2 linked regions of the Struthio camelus genome follow. The protein of the gene in region 2 interacts with the protein of the main gene of each other region in a pairwise test. Links are inferred from orthologs where the notes say so. Each region holds a gene or a part of one and is shown on either strand. Other genes may lie near its edges. The genes, in order: ANXA10 and EDC3.

What was found.
Region 1: the proteins of EDC3 (region 2) and ANXA10 interact in binary tests that used the Homo sapiens proteins (3 or more experiments, as listed by UniProt). The link is inferred for Struthio camelus from reciprocal best matches to the Homo sapiens genes EDC3 and ANXA10.

What each region holds. Positions count from the first base shown.
Region 1 is NC_090945.1:44,488,809-44,503,834, reverse strand, and holds the start of ANXA10 (annexin A10), read right to left. Parts: upstream 7,162-15,026; 5' UTR 6,834-7,161; coding exon 6,816-6,833; intron 1-6,815.
Region 2 is NC_090953.1:23,450,029-23,465,263, reverse strand, and holds the start of EDC3 (enhancer of mRNA-decapping protein 3), read right to left. Parts: upstream 6,863-15,235; 5' UTR 6,727-6,862; intron 6,466-6,726; exon of another isoform or gene 6,308-6,465; intron 5,907-6,307; exon of another isoform or gene 5,740-5,906; intron 3,584-5,739; 5' UTR 3,566-3,583; coding exon 3,402-3,565; intron 1,817-3,401; coding exon 1,503-1,816; intron 1-1,502. Other genes in the region: CYP1A1 (cytochrome P450 1A1), read right to left, coding at 8,526-8,832, 10,092-10,178, 10,821-10,944, 11,033-11,122, 11,611-11,737, 12,350-13,183. UniProt on the Homo sapiens protein: Binds single-stranded RNA. Involved in the process of mRNA degradation and in the positive regulation of mRNA decapping. May play a role in spermiogenesis and oogenesis.

The sequences.
Region 1 (15,026 bases), on a different chromosome or scaffold from region 2:
ACAAATGTGAAAGTTTTCCTCTGTAGGAAAGTTCCATTCTAAGTCGCTATTTATCAGCAGCCACTGTATACTTATTCGTATAGTTTAAGGTAGTATTACCTCTCCAGACTAAAAACTGAGTATGCTCTGTGTCTGCTTTTTTCAAATAAAAGTGATTCGGAGGTTCACTGGAGCACAAAATAACTAACTTACATAGGTAGTGAAAGAGAAAATTGTTAAAATCAGAAAGATAGCTAAACATGGGAACAAAAAAGATTTAAGACTCATGCCCACACCAACATTATGTTGCTACTTGCCATGTGCAAAAATTGCATTTCATGGCAAAGCTAAAACTGCAACAGTGAAAGCTGTGTTGTGGTTGTCTTGGTGATGTCAGAGGAAAATTCGGAGGTACTTGCACTAAATTTGTTTTCTCTAAATTAAATGGTTCTCTAACCTACCCCCAGAAGTAAAACACAACTATGATTCTGAAAGTTAAGAAGAACAGGGACATTTCTGGATCACTTAACATTTTTAGCACTAGGACTTTATCCAAATCTCATGGCTATTGTTAGTGGAGCTCCTTCTGTTGACTTCAGGGAGCTTTGGATCCTGGCCTTAGTGCGCAAAACTGCCAGGCACAGACTGTTTGACACCTTGCTGAGGAAAGTGAGGATAGCTTATGGATAAACTGAAGCAAATTCAGCGAAGTCACCAAGATACTCAGAGGCTGGGGCAGTTGTCCTGTGAGGTGAAGGTAAGGGACTCAGCCCAGCTTCAAGGGGGGGACCCAACAGCAGTCACCCAGTTCCTATGGGGAAGACATCGAGAACATGGATCCAGGCTCTCTACTGAGGTGCACGGCAGGAGAAATAGAGGCAGTCTGCATAAACTAAAACAGGGGAGAAACTTCTTTCTTTTTCTTTTTTTTTTTTTAAATATGAGGGTAAATGACCAGTGGAACGAGTTGCCTGAAGAGGCGTGGGATCTCTGTCCTTGGTTTTCAGGGCCAGACTGCACAAACCTCTGACTGACTTGGTCTGAAATCAGTGTTGACCCTGATCTGATTAGGAGGCTGGGCTAGATGACCCCCTAGTATCCCTTCCAATCAGAACGATTCCATGACAAGTTTTCTCCAAAGCCAAAAATTAACAGAAACTATTCCAAGAGTATTTTAAAAATAAGTAAGCAAATTAAGCACCCACTGGCTCAGTGACGTGGGACAGAGTAATAAAGAAACCTGTATAACACTCTGGGGGTCAGTCCTGTGAGGTGCACACCAATTCCAGTTATATACTTTGACAACAGCGCTACACCTTTTGCAGGATCAGGCACAGACCTGACACTTCTATCACAGATCATCTGTTTTCTGCTGTACATATTGTGATTATTTGGGTTGTTACGGTGGTAAAGAATTGCGCGCGTTATCAAAATATGACGACTGAATTTCAGGAGTAATTCATTTATGCATTTTCATTTTCTGAAAGGCAGATCAGCAAAGGTATAAGGAGCGTGGAGTCTGAGAGATTAGACTCTTAGCAGTGACAGACTGTGATACTTGCCCAGAAGTGAAAGTTATTGCCTGTGGACATTAAGTGTGCCTAATTACAATTTACGGATGGGAGCTACAGCAAGGTGGTTTATCTTCACCAATCATAAATCAATCACACAAAAAATATTCCTCCTCTAAATAGCTTGTATTTATAATAATCGAGGGAAGATCCTATAACTAAGGTGTTTATTATTTCTCCAATATCTGAATGCAACTACACCTTCCCAAAGGGACATTAACATATATTGAAACTGAATGCAGGACTGAACTTGCAAGCACCTGGAACCAGATCAATGTCAGTGTAGACAGCTCATTATTCAGCTCTTTCATGGTTAAATATAGTCCTTCTGAAAAAAAAAAAAAAAAAACCAGCCACCAAAAAACAACCAAACCTTGCTTTAAGGAAGTAGTGATCTATAAAGCATATGGAAGAAATATGGGCAAGATCCTCAGTCGGTGTAACAGTGCATAATTCTGCCAAAGTTGGTAAAACTTTGTTTTGCACAAGTTGATGATATAACTTTGGTCAGGTCCTAACTCTTCTTTCACCCAGATATGCTTCAGGTATCCTCATTACTAATACACTGCATGTTCCCACCGTTGTCATAATGAACCATGTCACAGCTCAGCCATTTTTCTGTGGATATGGCCCATATTTTTCTGTGCACATATTCAGACACGTGCGTTACACACAGCAGTAAGGACACTTTAATTTACTGAGCTGTACCTTCAAGTTGTCTGCGTTCAAAAATATTCACTGTCACAGGTGCACACAAAGGTCTCATTTATTGGTTTAGGCTGAACAAAGTCACATTTGGTTATTCAGTCTGGATGCAAGAACACAAATGTTGTGGATATTAGTTTGGTGCCTGTTTTGCAATATGTTTTTGTAACTTAACAAGCTGTTCTGAAAGCACTGAAACTAGTAACAACTGTTTTCTTACAGATTCTTTTGACTCTATATGCCTACTAAATTCCTCCTACCAAAACATCAGTTAATTTTCTCTCCTTGATTCTCCACCTACATTCACAATCTGTCAGGTGCTTACCAAGTCTACCACTGGATAGGTAAAAGATGGCTTGCCCTGTGGTTTAGTCCATACTATGCAGGTACTGCTTGGCTAATGCTATGCCAATAAAGTAAATCAGTTTAAACTCAAAGTTTAAACTTAACTGCTGTATTTTTCTAAGTGGAAGAACAATTTGGATCTCTCACCTCCATTGAGCAGCTGGTTTTCACAAAACTTGGAACAGACTGCCATTCCTCTGTTAGTTCGACAGAAATTAATTAACAAGTTCAAAGTTACTGGTAGGGACAGAAGGATGGGCAAATGTAAAGAAATAAAGCCTCAATTTCTGAATAAACCAGAGGGAAAACGCCTGGTATGCTCCACTGAAAGAGTACAAAGAACCCTGTAATATAAAATACCGGTTTAATTTTGATATCCAGGTTCTAATAGTCCATGTAGACCATTTTCCTAGAGCACTCTTTAGAAAGATAGCATTCAGCACGGCTTGGCTTTCTGCCTTAGAAAGAAAATGCCTTCAGGGAGCAGATGAGCAAAGTTCTGGTTATTTCTGAAAGCAATTTGGTCATTTTTTGGGTTAGCTGAGACCAGATGCTAAACAAGAACACGGAGAAATGCTTTTCATACCATCTTTCTTCTGCGGTATCTTAAAGAAAAGCATATCTATTATCCAGAAGGAAGAAAATCAGGGATATCTTGCTTTTTCACATAAAGTATCCAAGTACCTAAAGCAAGTAAGTCCCCAGAGGGGGATTCAATGATTTTAACACCCAGTCTTCTTTCTGATGTCAAGATACCTTCATCTACAAGAACACAGATGTAATTCCACAGAGATGGTCCAGCTGGACACTTTATACCTACATAACTGTGTTTGCTTGCACACAGGCATTTAACTCTTTTAAAAGAAACTGATTCCAAAGTAGATGTGAAAACTGAACACGTTTGCACGGTGTTAGCTGAATGAATCAAAAGAAAGACAGAGATTGGAAAAGGACTGTAAAATTTGTAGTAAATCTGAAAAATAATACTTGCACAGTACTTCTGCACAAGAGCAAGGAAGTTGTAGCTTTTCCTACCACTGACCAAAGCTGCAAGCAGTTCAACAAAAGTATCAGTAAAAGCTTAGGCTGCTTTTATCAAATTATAATGTGTAAAGTTCAGACGATTCAGTCTTGTGACGGAAAAAGCAATCTAAAGTGTGAACAACCTTCCAGTAATATTTGCTCAGTAAGTCATTCTGCTGATAACAAACAATCAAAGTCAGATTCCTTAGTCTGAATGTTTCCAAGAGGGAATATCTACTAAAATAAAATGCCTGCTCTAAAGGCTAATTATGCTATGAGTTAGTTGTGCTTTTTACAGAGATATCTTTTCCGTGCAACTTTATCATTTAATAAAAAATGCCACAATTCATTTTGACTTACTGTGAAAGTTACAGATGGTACACTTCCTTCGAAAAATATACGATACAGTAATGAAAGGGATACTTTTAAACACAACACATTCATTCTTTTCCTCCAAAAGCTGCCATCTTTCTCTGAATATGTATTTTAGAAAGGACATGGAGGTCTGATCGAATTTCTGGTAGCTTCACCTCTGCATGTACTGTGCTGAGCCATTTTCTGTACGATTCAGCCACACTATGCTGCTGAATCTGGCAGAACTGCTGCAGTGATTTTTTTCTACACCTCATTCCTAATCTTTGTGGATTCCAGTCAAGGTAACCTCCCATCCAGTCATTCATATGTGGCATATGCAAAAACTAGTATGTATGTATAATATCAAATATAAAGAAGATCATCTTAAAGAATCAATTAATAATTTTGAAAGCAACACTTTATTTCCTTTTTTATGTTTCTTTATGCTTCTAAACCAACGTTATATTAATATACTGTGATTTCCTGAAAATTTATTTGGAGCTACACTGTGCTTTTAAACTCAGTTCTCAATCTGAGGCTGTGCGTAAGGAGAGCAGACAAGATGTCAGCGTGACTCAGCCTCATCACTCTGTCTCTGTGTAAGCCCTGCTTTTTCTTTGCTTGCGATTTGCTAATGCTCTAGATCAGTGATTTCCAGCTGTTTTGTTGCTGAGACTCATCTGAGAAAATATCCATTGTTCCATGACCTACTCAATCTTGAGGAACCTGCGGACATCGGGAGGGGCATGTCTGCTTGGGCTTTGCACGACATCTCCCCGTTCTGTGTTGATACCTCTGTGGGCAAGTCTGCTTCACTCGTTAGGAACCGCTGAACTATTTCATGCCTTCTCTCCCTTCTCATCCCACAAGTCATGGAGAAAAAGGAAATAAAGAATAACAATTTACTTAACCTGAGAACCTCACCGTACTTTTTCAGCTAAAGCCTGTAGTCAGATGTCGATGTCTTTCTTGAGATTAAGCTGCACCCCATTGTCTACACTTGTCTGGCTACTCTTTTACTTCTGCGATTGATAATTAAAGGGTTAACCAGTAGGTCCTTGCATATTTAGAAGTGCAAGGAATGGAAAGATGATATTCACACCATTTACTCTGGTGTAGTTCAGAGGATCAAAGTTAGGAACGTCAGTTCCTTCTCCGGTAAAGAGGTCCTTAGGGCTGACTAACACACAGTGACTACATTAAAGCAAGGCTAAAATACTAATGTAAATATCTTCCACAGTTAAGCATAAACATGTAATCTATTAGATTTTTTTCATAATACTATCAAACCATCGTAATATTATTGTCTTACAAATAGATCTACCAATTTTAATGACATAAAAGTGATATTATTTCTTCTACAAACTATGTTATAATGTACTAACATTAATACCAGGTAATATATCATATACAGATGCAGTATCAATTATTTAAATAAAATTAGTCTTGATAAATCAGTTGAAGAAATGAAACTGAACTCCCTAATTTCTCAAAATGAAATGAATCTACTAGCTTTTATCTGCTGGATTTCCTGCCTCGCTTTAGTAATTGAACTACTTTAATTTAGTAATTAAATACATTAATAACAATGTAATTAATAACTTAGTATATATAAGAAATATGCTAATAATATAGTAATTAAAATCTACCAGCTTTATCAGGCAAGCTAATTCTTCCTGCCTTGCTTTAGTTATCAGAAATATATCGATAACATAGTAATTAAATGATTAAAAAACAGCAAAAGAAGAAAAAAAAATCCCTTTTCATTTCTTAACTGGGCTCAGGTCTAGTAAGCAATGCAAGATGCCAAATCTTACATCAAAACTAAACACATTATTAAAACCGATTCAATACCTATTTCTCTGAAAAATAAATATATGCAACATAGTTTTCTAGGAACAAATACTTCACTGGTGAGATTAGAATGATTACTGCAATTATGCCTTCAAATAAAGTAAGTAAACAAAAAAATGCTCATCCTTTAGAAAATTCTGCATTGAGCCGTAAATTAATTGGGAATGCACATGCAGAAAGCATACAAGAAGAATAAATCATTACTCCTATTAATAATAATTAAAAGAACAAGAATGACCCTAAGAACATAATTATTTGTTTGCCAGGCGCAGAAAGCAATTTCCTCTTTTATTGTCAGAAAAAATAACTATAGTAACTTTTAGAATAAGGAGTTAAAATTGCAGTATGAACATTTATTTTCTTGACGAGGAAGGAATCATTCACTCAACTGCTATAAAATATTAGCTAGGAACAATAATTGATAGCTTCCCCTGAGTTATGGCCCTTATAGAGGAAGCATTTTTTTTTTTAACTTTAAAATATCTGTCACTTTTAGAATGTAATGCATTGCCAGCAAAAAGAAATGCTTATGAATGATGAAATTATATAGTTACTTCATGTAATTACACAAAATGTGCACTGTAAAAATTTATAACCACCAAAACAGCAGCATGCATCAGTATCATCTGAACAACTCATATTTTTATTTTTAATACCATTTGGTGATGGTATACAATTTTGTGTCTGTGTTACAGCTACATGGAAGTGCAGGAAACTCAAAAACAGGTAAAAGATCTTTTTTTTGTCTTGAAAGGCCTAAAATTATGAGACTAGAACTGTTAATTCTGTACATTTTATTCTTCATTTCAGATACTTTGTATATACTGCAATAATCCCAGAATTAGACATAAACAACAAGTAAATTAACTTCATCAGAGGTAAACTAATTTCTACCGGTAGAAGAAAATGGCTCCCAACATGTGTGGCAACCCAAGAGCAGAAAAGAATTTTGAAAGATTGCAGAGAACAGATTATTATACTCACATAGTCTCCACAATACATTTTGATACAAGTCTCCAAGTTCCGGTGAGATCAAAATAGCAACTTTCCTAGAATAAAGCTAACAGTTCAGTAAACTAAGATTGTTATAGTCAACTTGAATTCTATTTTAAAGAACTGAGAGAAACCATCCAATCAAGCTGATATCAAGTATGCTAGGCTCCAAGGTAACAATGAAGCAGGAACAGCGCCTGGTACTGCACGTCCTCAGGTTCTACGGATGCACTGTATACTTAGTCATTAATCATATGTGAATAAGTAGGATTATTACGTAAGTAAACAGAGTCAATAGCACAACACCCTCTGTTCTGCTGTGTTGATTTTAAGAATCAGAATTCAGCCAGTCACAGAATGAAATGTTAACCTACAGAAACTACTTGTGTTAATGATTTACTTTCAGCATTAGCTGTGGTCTAGTTCCTTTTTTCCTTCTGCTGAATCACTCAGGTCATCACTTACTCTATAAAATATTTCCACCTGGCATGAATAGAAATACGCTGTATAGCCCTCATATGCTACCTGGAGTAACGAGGACAGATCTTTGGAGTCTCAGTGGAACTGTACAGATGAGGCCCTCCCTTGATGTTTTCAGACAAATTAAACCTTATAAGACTCTGTGAAGAGATGAGCAAAAATACTGTAACATTGTTCTATTAGAATTATGCAGAATGGTTGTAGAGACTGAGAGCAAAATTCACATTTTTATAGCTGCTACCTTGTTTTTTTTTTTTTCTATTAATGATATCTACTACCATATTAAAGAAAAGAGAAAACACAGTTTCCTCAAAAAGAGGAATTTAAAATAGACATACAGAAACAGTCTGTATCTAGTACAACATGAACGGAAGACATGGGCTACCGCTATCCTGATGGGGTGTCAGTATAGAGAGTTTATTTTACTGAAATAGTTGGACAGGAGTTTTAGACTTCTAATTTTATTGCTTTTATTACTATATCCATCACATGCTTTGTAGCGCTTATTAAAAGTCGGAGGTTTCTTATTACAATTTAGGAAGACTTTGGAAAGAAGAAAAAAAAAGATTTCTTTCATAGCCTCAATATCTTAGCAACTTGTCTAATCATTAAGAACCATCTCTGGGTTTGTAGGAGCTCTGCAGTACTGATTTTAATATAAACTTCTGCATGTCAGTGTTTATTATCTATAGAGATTACATGTCTGTCCTTATAGACAGTTGGAAGAGTTTCATAGACTGTATGCTTGTGAAACATGAAAATCTTAATGGGCTTCAGACTGCCATATCTTTGTTTTTTCCTTTTTCCTGAGGGCTATGGCAGATCATCTTTTTCTATATAATCATACTGAGTACTTGCTTTACACCTCTGTATTTCAAGTGCTCTGTGAGGATGGCTGGGGAACATAGCCCATTTTACAGCTAAGCAAAATGATCTGTAAAGAATCGGACCTGGCCAGCTGGAAGACGGCACATACAAGGTGGTGAAGATGGCAACAGAAGCTAGGGTGGGATGTAGACTCCTGATAATTAATAGTTTTAAACAGTGATAAGAATATGAGAACATTTTAAGCCTCTCTTTCGCAGACTCTCGTTTCACATACATTTCTTGCTGGGATAAGTAATTAAAATGCAATACAGTTAATCTTCAGTACAACCCAAAATGGATTAAATTTACAGGCTTACAATGTTTTAGTCTGCTCGTGTCAAAACCTTTAGTGGTTAGGGACCACAGGGCCTAAGTTAGTAGAGGAAAATTCACGATTCTGTGCTAATTCCTGGCCATTGAACATGAGGAAAGCATTTAGCCGATTACTGAACTAAATTCTGGTTTTAATGAATCTTTCTGGGAAAAGCCATGACAGACAGAGTCTTGAGACAAAACGTTCAACAGAAGAGGACATTTCAACTCCTTCCTCCTTGTGAAGGTCCCTTGGCTGTCCTTGCCTTCCACCCCACTCTAAGGCAAGAGGCAAGGTTTTCAACAGGGAAATGCAACATACATTTCTCCATGTAATGCTTAGCAAAACTAATCCGTTGTTTGTGTTCCAGAGTGAACATGCTGAACCTAATCTCACTTTTATATTTTTTTCAAGACGCAGCAGCTCAGAGGTGTGAATCATTTCTAGGGTAGGAGCTTATCCTGTTTTTTGTGGGGGGGAACACCGGAGAATTGCATTACAAGTCATTTTGGCCATCTCACCTTAAGACAACATGGACTAGCTGGAGAGAGCATAGAAGAGAGCAGAAATAATAACTCAGAAAGACAGAAAGAACTGGTTTGTTTAGACTAAAGACAGAAAAGTAAAAGATGTGTGAACAGTTCAAGTAAGTAAAAGCTTTTGCAAGAGGAATTAAAAAAAAAATAATTTGTCCTGATTTCATGGTGGACTGGATAAAAAGTGAGAGGCTCAGCATTCTCTTTTTCTGTTTCTCCCTCTGTTTAATTTTTTAATCAATTCTCACCTAATAACAGGGTGAGAATTTTATTACTGATTTGGACACCTGGTTACTTGCTCTCTTTTTGTTTAGAATTTCCCATTTTTGTTCCTGTTTAATTTTCTCCTCTCTCAGTTTGTTACCTGTTTTTCTTCTTTGGAGAGGCTTGCTTCTTTTCTGTAAGAGTAAGAAGGGGTCAGTCCCTCTTCTTGAAGTCCTTCCTGCTGGTGGCATTTCTCACCAGTGCTAAAGGTTCTTTTTCAAACTTCTCCCTGTTCTACTCTATGAACTGTTTAGGCTTAGGCATTGCAACTGATAATTTCAATATTGTACTAATGGAAACCTTGAATAAAAATAACTAGCCATAATTAATTTCTAATTAGAAATCCATATACTTTGAAGAAAGAATGATTTAATTCAAGTGAGAAATAAAAAATGATTTAGTATCAAATTAGTCTATTCATTTTCCTAAAAACAAGAATCTAGCATATCAGTCACACATTAATTACAAACAAAATTCACATTATTGGTAAAATAAGCTCCAGCTATTGTTCTGCAGTGTCTTCAGAAAACCGAAGAGAACTTACACTCTCTGGAGGAGCTTATAAGCAAGCGTAAAAACTTATTCATCATGATAAAAGGAAGGATACGGTAGTAAGAACCTTAACACAATGACTCACTGGAGGATGTATGAGTCAAAAATAACTTTGACAACTCTCAAGTCTGTATTTATATTACAGAAGAAACTCTGGGCACTTATTTGCCTGTGAATTGCTCTTACGGTTGCCTGGGTCAAGTTCTGCCCTGTTTCTGAGAAGGGCTCTGAGCACAGTATGTGTACACAGGAGGCCATAGCACGTACTCGGATGACTTTAGAACTGGCAAACTGTGCCTTGGAAGGGCTACAGCCAGCTGCTTTTTGCCTTTCTGGATGAACATGCGGGAGCATGTGGCGTGATGGCTTACCATCTTGCAGCCATTATCACAAAAAACCCACCTTGCATAAATTTGAATATCTTTCATAGCAGTAACCCCTGTTTTGATTTCAAGTTGCTAATTAAAATAAAAAATAAGAAGGAAAGGAAAACAAAAAACCGTGGTAGCAGACTGGAAAGAACAAGAATACCACAATGCAAGATCATATTGCATAATCTACTTCTATATGCTTCCTATTTAGAGTTGTTTGAAATTTTTTTAAGTAACTCCATGATCAGACTGCGAAAAGGAAAGCTTTTAAATGGTGGAATGTATGCAGTGCTAGAAGGCTAATCACATGAAAGAGAAGGCATTTAAAGAACAGAATAGGGTTTGAATGGGACATTGGATAGTGAAAGGTATTATGGGCATAGTTTCTAGGAACAGCAGGCACATTATTATTTAGTGAATGTAAAATTCTGCAATGAAGACCTTCTTCACTATCCCATCAATATACTTCATACTTGTACTTTCTGGTGGTTTGTCTGCAGCAGAAAATGAAAAGTCTTGGGCCTAGAGAGCAGTAGTTCTCAGTCCTCTATGTCACCAGTGAACTATGCTAGGCTTGCAGCGCTCTTTTTACATTCCTAGAACTGTCCTAGCTCTTTCAGAGTCCTCTTAGGTAGTATAACACAATTACTATTGCAAAACAGCAATTACCTAGGATTCTACTTCAGCCAAAAATAGTAAGCTATGACAGTCTGCACACTAGCTGCCCAAAACAGAACACCTACACGCTTATGACACTTAAAAAAAAAAAAACAAAACTCTAACCCTCAAAATTACCAGCGTCACCGTTAGTACAGACACCTTCCCTTCCAAATATGACGTTGTACATTACAGAAAGCAAGAAGAGAGACCAAACTGCTCCCTTTAACACCTCTGAGTACGTACGTACGTACCTACCTACCTCCCACTTCCACTTCCCAGACCGCGAGGCCGCGCGCCGCCAGGGCGTCTCCCGCTCTCCCGAGGCGGCAGCCGGGGGCGGGGCCAGGGCCTCACGTGGGGCGGGGAGCGCCTGCGCGGGGTTGACGCGCAGGTGGTGGCGGCCTCGGAGTTAGGCGAGGAGCGAGCGAGCGAGCGAACAGGCGGAAGCCTCACTCGGCAGCGACAGGGGCCAGCGTGCGGCCTCTGCTCGCTGCGACCGTGGCGCGGCGCGGCAGCGACGACAGCGCTGCTTATGAGGTTAGTGATGCGGCGGGCGGGCTCGAAGTTGCCGGGGGTGGAGGGTGGGAGCCGCGGGCGGTGTGGAGGGCGCCTGCGAGTCACGGGAACGGCGCTGGGGCCGGCTCAGAGCCTCGCGGGAAGAGGCGGAGTGAGGGCAGCGTGCGCCCGCCTGCAGCGGCTGGCCTGGAGGGGCACCTCCGTTGGCCGCTGCGGTGCCGCGAAGGGAGGGCCGTTGGCGGGCGGCCGTTGGCGGGCGGCCGTCGCTCGGGCCGCTGCTCGTTGTCGGCGCTCATGGTTTGTGCGGTGCTTCTGCTGCTAGTTCTGGGGATGGCAGGTTTTAGTTACGTCTCTCTAGCGGCAACAAAAAGTGGGCGCTTTGGTTCTTGTGCAAAAGTGGAGCTGACGTAATGCTGTAGTGAACTCATGTTTCTTGTTATGAACGCACAGATTTCGGGCTCAGCTGTATAATCGTTACTCTTACTGCAAGTATTGCAGTGAGATAATCAGATACGCTGTTGTAGTGACTCTAGTGGGTATTGCTTATGTTAGCAAGTTCTCTTTAATGCCTGAAACTTGTCACTGAATTTCATCAGTGAAATTCATACTATGTCTGCCCACAGCATCTCAGCAGTTTGTGGGCTGTTGAAAATACAGGTCCAATTGATCTATCCTCTTCTAAGCTGCCATGTTAATACGTATACAAGGCCAACAAGCTTGTATCACTGTTAAACTTACAATTCTGTTCATCTGCTCTTTGAATTTCAAGTGACATGCTAAAGTCTAGCTTTATTTGGAAGGAGCTTGGGATTGCACTAGTAGATTCTTAGGCAATATTTATTATATGGGGCAGATATCCTCTGTAGCGTTGTTGATGGTCCAGGTCCCCTGATTGTCAGTATTTGGAATGTATTTAAAAGACATTGCTCTTCCTCTCCCTTTTCACTCACATGCTTGAATTTCCTGCTTATTTAAGCTAGGTGGAACTAGAAGGACCAAAACTTTCTTTATTCCTGTTCCATTAGGGCATTGGGAATAAGGATGCTGGCCTCTTTATGGGAGCTGGATCTGACAATGAGTCTTGTGTTTTAGACATGATTGAGATCCATGGAGTGTGCAGATGTATACAGATCTATACTGCAGGACTACATATAGTAAGGTCTAATTTTAAACCTGATGTCCCTTGACCAGAGTACTGCAACTTCTTACATGTTTCAGGAAAAATCAGACCCTCAAAGAATGGTATCAAAAAAAAAAATCAGTGTTGCCTATGGGGAGTGGCCTAATTTGGCTACTGTGGCTTTTACCATCACCCGCAGTTTGTTTGCTGGGAAGCACAACTGATGAGAATGCTCAGGAAATGCTAGCACGACTAAGATAGGTAGGAGAATGCCTCCTCTGATTTAGGCACCCAGCATATTCGTACGTTTGGCACAAGACTAGTTGTGCATGTGAATGTTTGCAAAAAAAGTAAGAATTTAAGAGATTTTTGGACCAAGCTATGTTCAGGGAGCATATGACAAGAATTTTAAAAAATCAGTGTCACATAGGCTCATCTGCCTAAAAGCATAACCAGGTGACTAAACTCTTTTGTTGAATGGAGCTCTAAAATTTATGGCCTAATTTGAAAGTTCAGTTTCAGAAAGCTTGATGATTTTTGTTTTAAATAGACACTTTCATCAGCAGCAGATTTTTTTGTAGTTATCTAAGGCATGTCTTGCAGGAATAACCATTGAAAACTGAGGGAAAATTAAAGAACTGGTAACAGACTTTAAGTTTTTATGAGCTGTAAAACAAGAGAGGATCTGGGTGATTTCCAGCATACTTTGTCTAAAAAAGAAAGAACAATTTTATAGCAGATCAAAAGCAGATGTTTCTGATTTAAGAAAAAATGCTAAAATTAATGGAGAAGAATGATTTAAAGAAATTTCACACACTTCAGAAATAGTTCATATCTAGGAAAAGCAATTAAAGAGCTTTCGGAGGTGATGTTGAATACAGCTCAAAGTCACTAAGCTTGAACTGGCTTATGTTTGTAACAATGTTAGGAAACGATGCTTATAGCCAATGATTCTTATATTTTTTGGGTCAGCTTTTCAAGTGTGATGAAAAGATTATTGACAGTCCATGTATTTTGGATTGTGATTCTGGTAATATGAGAGACCCCGCTAAGCCTCATAAAAAAAGAAGAATATTTGAGGGAACAATTGTTTCTTCTGTCTACTTCTTTCAGATCTGCAAACCTCACTTATTCTACTGTTAGGCAAGAGGGAGTGAGCATGGAGATATATTTTATACATGTATATTTATATATAATGATTGCCATTGTTTTTGCAATTTTAAAGTTTTTGAATAGTGATTTTGTTTTTAGTCAGATGAATATGGGGATTCCTTTGTGATTTTTATCTTATAAAGTAGAATCTTTTTGCCACTGTAAATGCATCAGTTTACAGCTTTTTTTAATACCTCTTTAATTTTTAACCTGTTTAGGTTTTGGCTGAGCCCTAGGATAGAGATATGTGTCCTTGGGCTTCCTGAGGTTCTGATCACTTGATTTGGGGAGCTGACTGGAGTATATTCTTCTCATAAACATGCTTTAGCTTCTTACCATGGAAGAATATATCATTCTAAGATGTTATTTAGATGTATCGTTGCTGCGTTTTTCTAATTTGATAGTGTTCTCCTTCCCTATTATAGAGCTGTTCTTGTTTCATGGCACAGTTCCAATGTTTGTGGATGAGGAACTTGGATGCTTTAAGGCCATTAAAACTAATTCTACCAGTTTGTATGTGGGAATGCAAGGAGTTCATGTGAATCCATTTTTAAGAAAGATTTCTTGCTCTTTGGACCTCACTTCTGCTGACAAGTCTGTCTGTGAAATTCCTGTAACCGTTTTCTGAATCTTGAGGAAGCATTAGGATAAAAATTTATTTCACACACATTATATTATTAACAAATGTGTTATGAAAGGCGCTACGTTTACATACTCAAAGCTTTGCAGTTAAATGGAAAATAACCCTACACTTCTAGGCAAGAACTTTTCATTACAAACTTATTAAAGCTGTATAAGAGTGTTTCAGCAGAACCTGTAACAAAATTGGGATGGTAGTGTTTGAATTGTCCTGGGTGCTTTTTAATGTTTCACACCTTAAATATAGATTTGGGTTGAATGCAATAAAAATATTTTAAAAATGTCAGTGGCTAAACTAATACCTCAAGGAAAATCACATTATTTCAAAAACTGTCCATCTGACTAGCATGGAACAAATTTTTTCTTACAAAAAAATTTTCCAACTATTTACTTTAAGAGAAGGAAAAGGAGGCAGTCAAACATAATTAAGTGTTAACATGTAACTTTAATGGCAATGTGTAAATGCCAGTGCGATAAATATCTGACCAGAGTATTGTCTTCCTACAGATATTTAACTCTTTCTGCTGTGCCTCTATCTGAGAAGCATATTGGCTATGCCAAAGGAGCAAAATGCATACTTCCTGAATCTCAGTTATTGCTGTGGCAACCGATAATTGATATTAGAGATTAATTGATTTATAAACTGAGGTGATTTTTATTCTTGTTCACAGAAGATTTTTTTACAGAAGTTAATTTAAAATGTCTAATCATGGATAGCACAGTAAACTGCAG
Region 2 (15,235 bases):
GCTCTACATGCACTAAGAAAGTTAACATACCCCGAAAATAAAAACTGTTATTTCTCAGCAATACTAGCAACAGGAAAATGAATTTGGAGTTTGTATCCCAAGCCATTTTGGAAGTACACAGGAACACCTTACTTCTGTCTTCTGAAAGAGCTTCTGTGACCATCGCTCTCAAAGTTCTACCACGGTCACAAGAATCACACAGAACACTTTGCAGCATTTTAAAGTTCAGAGAGAATAATTTCCTTTCACAACGTTGAAGTATTTCAAAACAGGTTTGGCAAGGTCTGAATCCTCACAACACAACCAACGTTACATTAAAAACAAAAAATCACCCTGAACCTAACGAGTAAAACCATAAACGCAGCCTCTTCTCACCTACGCAATTCTGAAGGTTATTCTGAGCAGGCGTCTCAGCAGTAAGTCTGCAACAGTTGGTCTGCGGCACCTCAATGCCACCAGCCTTTATGAGCAAACAGCGACATCACAGAAGTCCGCTACAACTTCCTCCGCCTGTTACTTGGGTTAGTTCCAGGACCACACTGTGTAAAACGCTCACACACCACCTCAGGCCCCCACCTGGAATACCCTGGAGAAGCCAAGGAAACTCCGTTAAAAAGCAAGCACATGATTAAGTGCCATGCTAAAAAGGGATCTGGCCTCCCACTAGATTCGCCTGCTTTCAGTTGTTCCTCCACATGGGCTCAGAAGAGGGCAAAGGCAGCACATGAGTTTGTTTTCACCATTATCTACTCTCCAGTTATTCCTTCAAATAGGACTAACTTCTCTGGAACAATCTTTTCCAGGCTTTGCCTAGCTAGGAAAGGTATTCCACTCTGAAGCAAAAGGAAGGAAAAGTAGAGGGAATTTGCCTCCAAGGAACTCTAGGTATAACTTTAAGATCGACCCACAGAAGAAAAGGAGCTAGAATTTACAGTCTGCATCAGTACGATGGCAAAAAAGAGATCAACGAAGCAACTCTGTGTCTAGTATACCCTGAAGACCTTCTTGTAATATATATGGAAGCCTAGAGAAACAGAACTTGTTTTACAAAAAATAAAATAAAATAAAATATGGAAACAGCAGATGAAGTCAAACAACCCCCATCACCTGACCTTAGCCCGTAAGAACATTTCACACCTCTAAGGTTATTCTGTGCAAGTACATATACTTCTTTACAAACTCAGTCCTGCAAACGTTACTGAAACCGTGTGAACATTCATACCGAATCGCAGATGAGATTACACCATCATCAAATCATAAAAGAACTTAAGATAAGTGCAAGGCAGTTGCAAGACCTATACTTATACTACTTTGTGGAACAGCTTTTGATGTCTTTATCGCCACCATTCGATTTCTCTTCTCCAGACCTTTAGAGGGCAATAAAAGTACAAAAGCAAACAAACAAAGCACTGTGCGAAATGTTCTTGCTGAAGAAGAGTGGACATTGCAGTAGTAACTCAGGTATGGGAAAAGGAAAGTTGCAGGACAGCACATATACTTACATGAATTGTGTCTACGACGGAAGCCTTTGGACTGAGTCAGTGTTTCCACATGCCGATCCATGTAACTCTTGGAGCACTGCTGCTGTGGAGAGATGATAACATCCTGACTCTTCATGTCTGTTCTCCTTGGAATATTCTGTGGGGCACTGCTGGAGATGGGCTTCTTTAACACTTTTCCAGTGCCATTCTGACTGGGACCCACTTGGCATCCAACACCAGGGATGTCCATTTCCGTCTGCTGCAGATCCCCACATTGTCTATTGTCCCCCGGCCCTGGGATCTCCAGAATTTTTAGCTCAGTAATGTCACCTGCCCTAAAAACAGGAAAAGAGAACCAGACATTCTGGAATTCAGCGTTCAGGCTACTTTTATTAAAACAAACAAACCAACCCACCCTAGAGGAACACACGCAATATTCTACAATATTTTTTCTGATGCCAATATCAACAGAAACAAGAAAAAAAAAATGGATTTGATACACAGACTTACAGGACACATCCCACAGACAAAATATTCAACTGAAGTGATTTGAATCTTCAGAATAAGGACTCAAGTATTTCTTTACTGCACCCTGTTTTTGTTCTGGGTACTGTTCCCAGCTGAAACAGGAATCAGTGAAGCAGATGTGAACAACTCGCACAGATCTTTGCAGAAATCTGCCTTAATATAGCAGTTTCCAGATAATATAATTAATCTCAGCCTTCAGGCTACAGCTTCTTGTAATCCATTTCTACAGAAAGCAATTCTTAAATTGGTGCAATTCATGCTCAGCCAGGGATGGCGCTTCCAATTTCCTCAGAAGGGGAAACTAAAGTAGTACTGGTTACAAACCAAAATGAAACAAAGAAGTGATCACGAACACCTTCATTTGCACAGACTGCAAGAAATAAATTGGAAGTTATGGTCTTCTATTTTAGACCTGATAAGCATTGGTTCAGCTAGGGTATAAAATTAACAGCATGAGAAGTAGCAAGGACTTGACACAGACTTCCACACGTTTCCTGGAATAATATGGCCTTCTTCCTCTCCCATTCAAAAATCTCTTCAAAATCCTAGTTCGAGGAAAAGGTGATATTCTGAAATCTGTATTTAACCTTATTTAAAAATACAGTATCGTAAATCTGTATTTAACCTTATTTAAAAATACAGTATCGTTAAGTCTCACTGTAGCAAGCAAATTGCACAGGTAACAGGAAAATATCCTGTGACTAATCTCTTATTTTTCTTTCAAACACGATGTCACCAGGAGCTGGTGGGAGGGAACTCAGAACTACTACAGTACTGCTACATTGAATTCAGCTTCTTAGCTCCAAACCTTTCCAATAGTTTTCTACACCAATTAGCAGCCAGCCTTACACAGCAAGATTACCCAACCAACGGCAATAGTTTTTAGTAGACAGAAACGCTGCCTACAAGGAGACGAGAGTGTGGTAGAAGACACGAGATGGACTTAATGATTGCATTTAATCAAATGTAATTGCATTTGGGCCAATAACTTTAACTGATCTGCCTTCTCTTCTAACACGTTTTGAAAACGTACATTACATATTCTGAGGAAGAACCTTTAAGAGAATATGCCAATTCTCTCAACCATATGAAAACTCAACAGAGAACATGTACACCTACATGATACATACATACACATAGCTTCAGCCACAAACATCCTCCAGCTGTGAGCTATACCAGTTCTAACACTGTGAGCACAGAGCCAGAAAATAACAGTCTTCTGCATACAAATTCATGAAAACATTAGAGGCACTCTTCATCCAAAGACGCTCATTAGTAGTAATAAAATTTAAGGCAAAGAGCCCAGTTCTAGGGTGAGTAGAAAGAAAAAGAAACAAAAAAGGAAAAAAAAAAAAAAAGGCCTTGTCTGGAAAACAGAAAAAAGACACTAACCTGAAGGTGACTTCTGGCACGAGGCACTTGACCCCATTATGGAAGGGCCGTGTCAGAGAAATGGTCTGGCTGACCTGATCCACAGCAGACACCCGTCCTTGGTAGACTCCCAAGCTTTCTCCACAATTAATTGACACAATGCTTCCAAGCCAGTCTGTAGCCATATTTCTGGCACACAATTGCTGTAAAGTGAAGAGACACAGGCCTGGCTGTAAAAGATGCAGAAACTGACAACCTGAATCAGCATCAACTGCGCCCTCCCGGCCCCAAACGCTGGCTCCCACCCAGGCTCCAGCTCGGTCAGCTTCTCTCTTGTTTGTGAGGTGGAAATAACATCTATACAGCTACCAACACTCACAACAAATGTGTAAATCCCTGGACAGCACTTTGCTTATACATTTGTTTGCAACACCCATAGCTCTGTTGCAATACAAACGATAGCTAATGCTTGTATCACCCTGGCGAGTTTCCTATAACGTTGTATTTTTTTAAAAAAATTGGAGGAAATAATTTTGTAACTGATTTCAAGACTAAAAACTTCTAACAGCAATATCATTTGCTTAAGTACCAGATCAAGTATTTAGATCTGTCTGCATGCATTCTCCCAGAAGCTTCAAACGGTTAATTTTATCTTCCCCTCCCATTTTAAAGTTTTGGCCTTTGAATACTGGAGAAGAATTGCATTTGTGAGGACTTGGCAGCGAGAAGACCGATGTCTGCAAACACAGCTTAAAATCAACACTTTTAAGAGAATAGAAAGATACTTGGGGGAGGGAGGGGGGGGAGCCTCTTCAGTCCATGACAAGAGTCTCCATGATCTCCAGATAGTATTGGTACTACTGAAATAAATAAATAAATAGCATTGTTTTCCAGTAATTGCATTTAGTCTTGCAAGTATATAGGGAGGAAAAAAAAGAAAACCACACCACCACACACTGTGTAGTTAGATATTCAGACCTATAAATCTCTTGCAGTTTTGATGCCTGACTGAAACTGTATTTCAATCAACACACACTGAAGCAGCTAAGCACATCTTTTGATCTGATATTACTTCCTCCAAACAAGGCACATAGGAAAGTGACAGGCTCTCGCTAGCATCACAGTAGCATGAAAAAGCTGAAAAGCTCATAGAGGAAAATGACTACTCTGTGTCTGGGTGTATATACATACACACACACACACATACATACATACACACACACACACATATATATATAAAATGTCTTTTATGCTGTAATCAACAGTGAGAAGGAGAACACTCGATCAGAAGAAAAAATCCACTTTGACTTCATAGCTGTAACAGAAGATCATTCACTACTTTTACTGTCATTTCCCTGCCTCAACTCTGAATTTCTTAATCTCCTTCCTGAACTGATGATAACTTGCTCAGTTTGTGGGACATGCTGTAAAGAGCAGAAAGACAGAAAGAGGAGGAGATAATCCAGAAACAACTTGCTGCTTTTCTCAGAAGAGCAAGGCTACAGGCTGGAATTCATCAGCAGAAACACAAGTTGGAGAAATAAATAAATAAATAAGGTAACACAATACAGAGCTCAAGATAAGAGTGGGGTGGGGGGGGGGAACAGATTAACATCAATACATAAAACACCTTTCTGTAGAAATCATTTTAATTCTCTGGAAGCTCTTCATGTCCAGAGCTTCTTGGAAAAAGATGCAAAAGAGACTGGAAATAGCTACCATACATGGATGTTACTAGAACAAACTCACTTCCCATCCTCCTTCCCCCTTTTTTGAAAGACTAAAACCAGGGGCTGCTCGAAAGAGAAACAAACGCTAGATTTGGTCTCTAAGATCATGAGCTCTTTAGCAATGGCCTCCTCTTTCCTGTTTTTGTGTCTTTATATTGACCCACAACAACACGTCTGGGTTCCAAGTTGACGGCTGATTTAAAAAAAAACTTCTAAAACACAGATAATGCATTTCAGAGTATCTGTGTTAAAATGCATATTTCATTCTCTTTCCTGCTTTTTATATCTTGTTTGGGAAACAAGGAAAAAGTTCAACATACATCAGCACTTTAAAGGGATAATTTTTAAAAAATTAAGATAGTCTCTTTTCAGAAAGAGGGTATGTTTGGGGGCAGACATAAACCAAATCAGTGAAACTCCTAATCTCAAAAGGATCTCACTCTGTAGCTACTTTATATGCAAACCATTTAGAAAAGCGAAAGAACTACACAGGCAGTGAACGATTACTTAGCCACACGAGACACATGCAAACACGTTTGTTTACATACACCTGGAAAGTCAGACTTCCTGCCAAAATTATATTCTAAGATTTGCTGCTACCACCGGCACAGATATATGTTCTTACACACCTCTAATTTCAAATGTAAACTAGAGACACCTTTGACGCTTTTGCAAGTTTTGAAGGGAAGTCAACAGCCTCATGGTCTACTCAAACATATGTGTAGCGCGCTGGGGAAAGCAAAGACGCTTCGGAAGTGACTGAGCGCACGAAGAATCGGCGCCCCCGCACACCAAGCACACCTGCGCTAGAAAAAAAGGAGCTGCCAAGCCTGTGCCCCCTCTGTACCTAGCAGGGGAGCAGGGGAAGAAGGGGGAGCAGCTCGTGGGGGAAGGCAGGGGCCACCAGGCCTATCCTCTCTGCACCCGCGGGAAGAGCTGCCGCGGGATCGCTTCCCACGCCGGGAAGGGGAGGCCGGCTGAGGCCTGGACGCCGGGGAGGGGAAGCCCTGCGGAGGCCGGGGCCTGCCCCCCGCCGCCCCCGGCAGGCCGCGGACGGCTCCGCCTTACGGCCGCGCCGCCCGGGAGCGCCGGCGCCGCCGAGCCCCGCACCGGGGGCCCCGGCGAGGCCCGGCCCGCGCTCCCGGCCCCGCCAGCCCTGCCCGCGGCAGCGGAGGGAGCGGGGCGCCACCGCCTCACCTGCGCCGCCGCCGCCGCTCGCTCCCCGCCTCACCCACCGCCCTTCCGCCTCGCCGACGCCCGACGTCTGCCGTCACTTCCTGCCCCGCGCCGGGCCTCGAAGCGTCGCTCAAGCCGCCGACGGGCGACCATAGAGAGGCGCGGCGGAGCACAGGCGCGACGCATGCGCAGTACTGCAGCGCGCTCCCGCCGTCGCGGGGGGAGGCGAGGGGGCTGCGCTCTGCGCGCATGCGCGGCGGCGGCGGCCGTGCAGCGCCGAGCACCGGCAGGCGCGGGCGGGCGGGCGAGCGGGCGGCGGCGGCCTCGCTCACGCCTCCGCCGCCCCTGCCTCGCCGCCCTCGCGCGTCCCCCACCGCCTCCGCCACCCCGCATCACTGCCGGCACGCGCCCTCCGCCACACCCCGTCCGGCCCGTCGCACCTCCACCGCTGCGGTGGCGCGGCCTCCGTCACGGCCTTTCGCTGCTGCCACCTCTCCGCCGCCACGGTGGGCGCGCGGCCCCGGTCACGCCTGCGCCACCGTGTCACGCCTCACGTCCTGCCTCCGTCACCCATGGGCGCCCCCCCCGCCGCCGCCTCGCCCCGTCTCCGCCCCGCTCTCGCCACCGTCGAGGCGCAGCGCCCGCTCTGTGCCCAGTCGCTCAAGTGATCTGCCTGTTTCGGAAGGGAAGTTGATGCAAAGCCTCGGAAACCATAGTCCGCGGAGAGGGGGAAGCGCCAGCCAGAAGCGTCCCTCAGCCCGCTGCTTCCCGCCCCGGCAAAGCTCAGTCTCAAACCTACTAACTAAAGCAGAGATGCTGCCGCGTGAAAGGCAATTTTTAAGCTACCTGACTCAGTTTTTCCCAGGGGGACCAGACCATCGCCCTGGGGCTAGTCCCGGTTTTTAGCGAAAGCCGGAATTGGAGCAGGCGCCCGGCGTTACCTGCTGGCTGCCGCGGCGGTCAGCTGAGGTCTAGCGCAACTCTCTCCTCTAGGCGCAGAGAGAGGGTCGGACCCCACAGCAAAGCCCCCGTGGGAAACGGGGGCGACAGCGCCTGCCATCTGCGGACGGCCAGTTAATTCCCAGAATGGAAAAATCTAGGTACGAGGGTATCTAAGTCAGACTTGAGGATGGAAAAGACAAGAGGTGTGAACATTTCCCCCCCCCCCCCCCAGATCTTTCCCCAGGAGAATAAGACCAGCAAGAACCAAGCAAGAAACTTGCCCGTTAGTATTTATTGGTTAGAAACATTGTGCAATGCAGATAACATTTCGGCATACAGATGCATCCCATACAGATCGCAGGGAAAAAAAAAAAAAAGGCACAAACGGGCAGGAACTGCTGTTCCATTTGCCGTTATAATTTGTCCTCACACGAGCTGAGCAGATTGAAAAGCAGGGCAGAGTAGCTCCTGCCGTCTTTAAAGCCCTACTCTTTGTATTAGTCTGAATATATAAATCTTTTTTTTTTTTTGCAAATAAGTAAAAGAGGAGTTAAAATAGCAACAATGCATAGTCCAAAAGCAAGAAGCATTTTACTGTCTCCCTTGTTGGTTTTTGTCCCTTTTTCCTCATTCTTTTGATTTTTTTCCAGGAGGCTTATTGTTGAGAGTTGAGTTAATAACATCTCAGATTTGTGAACAGCTAGATGTATGTGTGTGTGTATAACATATATATATATATATATATATATTTGCTAGTAGTCAGACTGTCACTAAGGGTTGGTGCATTTCATGAATTTATATTTACGACATTTAGCTGTATGACCGTGCACTCCAAATGGCTACGCTTGAGATACTTCATGGGCAAGGGGTGGGTTTAGCCAGCCAGCAACGCCCCAGCTGCCGCTCACCTGGGCAGAAGCCTGTGCTGCCCTTACATGCCAGAGGGCCCTTCACAAGGAGGTGTGACATGCCCTCTCGCAAGCAAGTTGCAAAGACGTTCTGAGAAATCGGCCCGACGAATCTCTGCTCTGCTCTCCTCCAGGCTAACAGGGATGCGAGGAGCAAGCACGTTCCTCGAGGCGCACTGAGCCCAACAAGGCCGTCTTTATCCGTCCCTGTGCGCTCGCTCGCATTTACATGAGAGATGAACGAGCCCCCAGTGAGGCGGCCCAGTGACCGGCTGTGCTGGCTGGGGAGCAGCTCCTTCTAGAGAGCGTTAGCTAAAGCAGTCCCAGTGTCTGGCTCAAAAGGCTGGCTTTATTTCGCAAAGTGGTACTTCCTCCCAGGGCTCCGCAGCTTATGGAGAGCTCTTCACCGGGAAGCGCTTCTTAATCTGGAAGTGCTTGCACTTCTTGTACTTCATTGTCAGGCCGTACTGAGGAGTGATGTCCACCTCCTCCCCGGCGCAGAGGCTGAACTCCAGCTGCTGAAGCAAGGTCGCCAGGAAAAGGAAGACCTCCAACCGGCCAATGGACTCCCCGATGCATCGCCTCTTCCCCAGGCCAAAAGTCATCACTTTGTCAGCCTCGTTCCGGTCTATTTTAGTCCCGGCAGCGCTGAGGAACCGCTCTGGGTTGAAGGTTGAAGGATCCTTCCAAAGCTTCCTGGAGCAAAAAGGAGAGGTGACTGAGAAAGCCGTTTCCCCCCTCCACAATAGGGACAGCAGGAGAACAAATCCTTGCAGAGAAAAGCATTGCAATCTTTTCTCATTTCGCTGTCCAAAAACTCTGGCACTCGGTGGTGGCCTTTATCAGTGATCTAAAATGCCAGTTGCATGTCAGCCCCTATCAGCTCAGTCTATTGAAACAGACTATTTCAAACTCAGATTGTGTTTGCCTATGCAGATACCAGGGGTGAATTTAGTTTAGCATGCAATATCTAGAGGCCCTGCAGTTTCAGCTGAAAGGAGACCACAGAAACCTGCCAGCACCTTCTAAAAAGGAAGGATTCAGACCTGACCGTTTATCGTCTTGAACCTTTCTAGCAAAACTTCATGATCTGTCCAGTTGCAGTTCTGGTGCCTGCAGGATTGCTGCTCGCAGACAGAGGGAATTCCCTCTGCCACACAGCATGTTCCCCCTGCAAAGGAGGGCAATGTGCACTGGCATGTGCAGAAGCGGCAGGAATACTTCTTTGTATCAGAATAGCTCAGCTGCACAGAGGCCGAGTCTCGAGCTTCTCAGCTAAAATAACTGGTGGGGGAACAACCTCCTGTTTCAGCCATCAGTCACTTACTCCCTCCAAGGCCGCCTCTGCTGTAGTGCAGCGGACAGGTAAGACAGGGCTTTGGGCTCCAGAGCCCTTTGCATTCACAGAAGCTGATTATCAGAAAGGGTGACGCAAGTCTATTGAGTCCTTAATGCAAGAAGAGAATTGACCCTGTTAGTGATGGTCACGTCAGCAGTCCCTTCTGACAGGGCATTTTTCTGCCTGAAAGAGGGAACCAGACAGTTTCTGCTGAACACAGAGCTGTCAGCTTGGCAGGAAGATGTACCGATTCCTGACTATTCAGCAGCCAAAGCTGCCAGCCCTTCGAAAACAGCCACCGCGCACACGGGGTCAATCCAACGCGCTGAGGACGCCTCCAAGCTGCTGTGCAAAAAGTCAGTAAAGCCCTGGCTGCCGGGGAGTCGCTGAGCTGGCGACTGAATCAGTCTGTGCAGTCCAGAGCACCTCCACGCGCAGGAGAGCTCACCCTGGCATCTGCATCAAATCCCCACTGCTTTCGGTCTGACCTGTTCATCCCTGTTCTCATGACCTGTTCAGCTTTAGACGTGTTGCTGTAAAGGACCGATCTGAGCGATCTCAATGCCAAGCAGACCTACTGCGCTCTGAATGAGAATGGGAGATTTGGCGTACTTACTCATCATGATTCACTTGCCACTGGTTGATAAATACACAGCAGTCCTTTGGGATGTAGTAGCCATTCAAAACGGTGTCTTTTGTTGTACTGAAAGAAATAGGGGTGCAGGAGGATAAATTGAGAGGAAACCTGCAGTTTTAGGGTGAAACAAAGGCAGGCAGGTTCTAGAGAAGTATTTTGTTTTCAATACCCTATATTTATTCTTAGGACTCGCTAGGAAATACCCTGCCTTAATTGTATTTGAATTGGGAGATTATAAGTACTCTTGGTTAATGCTTTTCCTCAAGTGGAAAGATTCCAGTTTCACGAAGCTGAATGAATCATGACATGGTTTCTCCCAAGGCAGGTGGAAATATGAAACCAGGTGATTTAGTCACGACCCACTGTCCTACCACTAGTGAAGGGTCTGAAGCGAAATTGCCCTCATACTAAGAGATTCAGCCCCAGGTGAGCAACAAGCAGGGCAGCTGCTGGCCTCAAATTGGGCAGTGAAAGCAGCCGCAGGCACCGATGCAACTCAGTAGTTGCGCTGACGGTGACTGTCAAAGCCATGGGGAGGTTTAACCCAAGGAATTTAGGATTTGCATCAGAATATCTCCCCACAGCCTTCACGGAAGTAGTCTACAACAATAACAGGGATCAATTCCCAGGCTATTATCAGCATAAACAGCACCTCCCAGAAAACCGCTCCAAAAAACAAGTTAACGCGTCAGTCGTTACAGTGCTTACCAGTGCGGGATAGTGAAGGGCAGGAAGGAAGAGTGCCTGAACATCTCCAGGATAAAGGCTTCTGTGCGCGGCAGCGTGCCTCGGTCAGACAGCCTCGGTCGCCTCTCCTGGCCGATGGTGTGATCTGCGGGTGGTTGAGAGGAAGAAGCTGGTTGGAATCAGCCTTTGGCAGAGACATTTCAGCCCTGGAGGAAACGGACTCATGAACTCACCTATTTCTTCCTGGATCCTCTTCTGGATGTCAGGGTACAAGGCAAGGTACATGAGACTCCAGGACAGGGCAGTTGTAACAGTGTCAAAACCTGTATGGACATAGAAGAAAGGCATTTAATTACCTAGAGAAGACAGGCCAGAGGACATTTACAGATCCCATCATTTACAGATCCCATTCTAGATTTTTTGGCCAGTGACACACAGCTAATATTTGCCTTGGAGCTGTTCCCCCATCAGCTATCTCTGGAAAGCCATCTGCTCTGGTCACCCGTCAGAAGAGCATTTGTGAGCCCAGCTTCAGCCCCGGCTACCGAGCACTGTGAGAGGTGCACCTGGACGGCTTCGGCTCCCCTCTCCACCCTCTGCCGTGACCCTCAGCTCAACTGCCAGGGCTAAACAGCAGCTCTCTCCAAAGCTTGTCTCAGGACTTTTGAGGCCTTTCTGGCCATAAGGCTGTTGAAGGACCTGAAAGTGTTTGGCTGCCTGCAGTAGCGGATTACAGCTCTTCAGCTGCCACATCAGGAGGGCAGCTGGGACGGGGACAGCAGCATGGCTTTAACAACAGATGCGTTCTCACCTGCCCCAAAGAGGTCGTTGACAATATTGATGATCTGCTTGCTGGAGAGCGGGACACCGGTGTTCTCCCCTGCCTTAGTCTCCTGGCAGTGCTCGATCAGCGAGTCCGTGATGTCCCGGATGTGCTCCTGAGGGAACAGCCAGAGTAGTCAGCTAGACCAGAGAAATCAAGGGCTGGAGGAAAACCTCTCCTCCCAGCCAATGCAGGGCTCCTGATGGTGATCAGCTACAGACCCACAAGCTCCCGTGAGCTTTCCTGTGCACCCTGTGAGGGGGGTGGACACGGGAATATCCTCTTCCCCCCTTTCTGGGCCAGACAGACAGCAGCCGTGACACTTGCAGGCACCTCTGCCCACAGAGGCAGGATCAGATGGGGCAGTGACAGAGGCAGCAGCTGTTTGGCCTGCCAGGTAAGCAAGGCTGTATTACTCTGGGTGACTAAGAGCCAGTAATATATTAAGAGAGCCATTTTGAAAAGAGTTAGAGAAAGCGGTGCCAGCTACAGGAAAATCAGTATCTCCAAACACTTTGCCACTTCCAGCAAACAGCAGCACTGGATTTGATTTTTTGAGCTTCTTCGAGAGAAGCTCCATTTCATTAGGCAAAAAGTGGAGTAAAAACTTCACTTATGCTCTCTGACTTGTTGCAATGGTCTTAAGGAACCAAGCTATGAAAGATAAAGGCAACAACAGAGTGAGGAGCAAAGCAAAGGTTGCCCAGAGCAATCTCCAAATTCTTACCCTATCAAAGCTAGTGTAATGCTGCTGGACGATTTTTTGCACGAAAGAGCTGAATCGCCTGTTGAGGTCCTTAAAAGCTTTCATGGCACGGCTGGGAAGATACTGGAGCACAGGGATGAAGTCAGTAGGGTTGCCAGCAGCAGCAACCTCTCCAAACTCATTGTTGAGGTTTACCAAGCTGAGCAGCTCTTGGTCGTTGTGGTCGTAACGCCTGCCAAAGCACATGGCACAGATGACGTTGGCCACAGAGATCACCAGGTACCGGTAAGGGTCAAAGCTCTTCTCCTCTTCCATCACCTGCAGGAACTTGGTGACCAGGTAGTCGGCCTCCTTGGAGACGTGCTCCTCCAGGAGGCAGGTGGAAGAGGAGGTCAGGCTGGGGGCGATGGAGAAGGTCTTCAGGGCGTTCTGGGCCAGCTTTCTGCGGGCTTTCCACACCTCCCCTGAGTCTGGGCTGAAGGTAAGGCTCTGGCCATTTGAAATGTATTGGAAGCTGTGGAGATCAGGGCGCCCCATGAAGTCTTCTCCTTGCTTCACCAGGGCTTGCTTGATGGTGTCGAGCCCGCTCAGCACCAGCACGGGCCGGCTGCCGATCCTGATCTCCATCACGTCCCCATACTTCTGGCTCAGCTTGGTCAGGGCCAGGTGCGGGTCCTTCCTCAGCTCCAGCACGTTGCCGAGGATGGGGTAGCCTCTTGGTCCTGGGGGTCTCTTCAGCCCCTTGGGGACGTGCTGCCTGAAGGACTGGATGAGCAGGAAGACCAGGCAGAAGACAGCAGCCACAATGAGGATCTCGGTGGCCGAGATAATGCCTTGGCTTCCCCCCAGCGACATTGCAGCCTTCGTTGCCACTGGCGTTTAGAAACCTTAATATCAAAAAAAACAAAAAAGAAAAAAACCCACACACATATTTTGGAGGAGGAAGGTCTAGGAAGCATCTGCAGTTTTGAGACACTTATTTAGTAGGGACCGCACAGGCAATCTGTAGTTGCTGCATTGCTTTTCTGCGCTTCAGCACCTCTGCATACTTCAGCACTGAGAAATATTCCCCTACGTCGTGAGCAGAGGATACTTATGTCCAAATCAAAACAGTCTCGCATTTGTCTTCACCAAAAAGTCATTAGAAGATGAAGCAATATTCCCTTGTCACCCTCTCCTGATTGGCCTGCCAGATTTAAGTATCTTCCTAAAGGCACTAGTGCAGCTTGCACTTGCGGACAATAAAAGCAGTGCAGCCAAGAGCGAAAGGAATAGGTCATATGGCTTTTTCTCTGCATGCCAGGGATAAGAAACGTGCTCTTTTAAGTAGAGAAATTCTCTTTCCTGCTCTAAAGTCTTTTCAAGAGACTATAGAAGAGTTGAATTGTCCTGGTTTGAGTCATCTGGTTGCTTGCACTGAGCCATCGCTTACCAGCAAATTAAACAAAGCAAGCAGGGGTTTTGTTTAGATTATCACAACTCTTACAAAAGATAGATGACCAAGAAAGCTAGCAAGTGCTGTAGTGGGACACTGGTCTCTAATGCTCCATCACTGGTAACCAAAAGGGCTGGAAAGAGCAAAGACCTTTTCCCAATGCATGTCCCCAGAGCCAGTGGGTTCAGTTCAGGGATGTCTAAACAGCTCTGATGTGTCAACGCATTTCTGGAGAGGGAAGAGCAGGACCCTGCACTGCCCTTTGGGGTTGGTAGGTGGGGGGCACGCTGCTCCCAGCTCTGGCAGAAATCCCTCAGGTAAACCCTGAGCCACAGGTAGAAAAAGATTGGGTCTGACATCCCACCTTCCCCTGGTTTGAAGGCACTAGAGCCCACTGTGCTGCTCCCCTCCGGGACTCAGGGCACCCGGGTCCCATGGGATCACCTTGGCTTCAAATGCAGCAGGTCCTTTGGTAGCAAGGAGCGCTATGGGGCTGCCAGGGTCCCTGTTTCAGTTAGGGAAGGGGCATTTCAGCCCTGCTCGAGCAGGGAGAGCCAGCCCCACGGGGCAGCCCAGCTTGGAGCCGGGACCCCCCTCCTAGCCCACGTCTGCAGAGCCAAGCTGCCTGGGGCAGTGAGCCCTGGGCAGAGGGTCCTGGGGCAAGGATCCGCCAGTGTAAGCCTCCAGGGGCCCCGGCTCTTCCAGAAACCGGCAGCTCAGGGAAGGATGCTGTGAGCTGTCTGGCAAACTATGGGGCCACCGCCAAAGAGGGCATCCCACGGGTTTCCAGCCTGTGGGGGTCCCCTGGGAAAGCTGTCAAGGAAGAGCTCCTGGACCCCTCCCCACCCTCCAGGCGGAGGGCTCTGTCCCGGAGCTGGGGGACAGTCCCCGGGACCGGTACTCACCTCTCGGGCGAGCAGAGCCGCCGTCCCTCCAGGCAGCCAGGGGAGCGCAGGGGCCCGATCCTGCCGCAGGTACCCCGCCGGCCCTCCGTGCCTGCTTTATATGCATCGCCTCTCGCCCTGATTGGCCCAGGAGCCTCCCGTCACGTGTCCGAAGCCTAATCAAAGCCGACGTGCGGCCAAACTCCCAAATGATTAACCTGGACCGACCCCCCCCCCCCGATACCTCGCGAGGGGCGCGGGCAGGGCCGGCGCCGGGCAGCCCGCGGCGGGGGGGGGGGGACACGGACAGCGCCGTCCGCAGCCTCTGCGCCCCCCGGGCTGCCGCCCCCGGCCCGGGGCGGGGGGCTGCGAGCTTGTCCCCGGGGGAAGGGGCACCCTCCTCCCGCGGGGGTCTCCGGTGCCGCCGCGGAGGGAGCGCCGCGGCCCCGACGGCGCGGCCGGGCGGCCCGGGGGGCGGCGGCGGCGGGGGGGGGGGGGGGGGGGCCGGAGCCGCACGTCGGGCGGCGGCGGGAGGCATCGCCGGGTTAAAGATCGGGGCAGCTCGCGTGAGAAGCCGCTTGGCTCGGG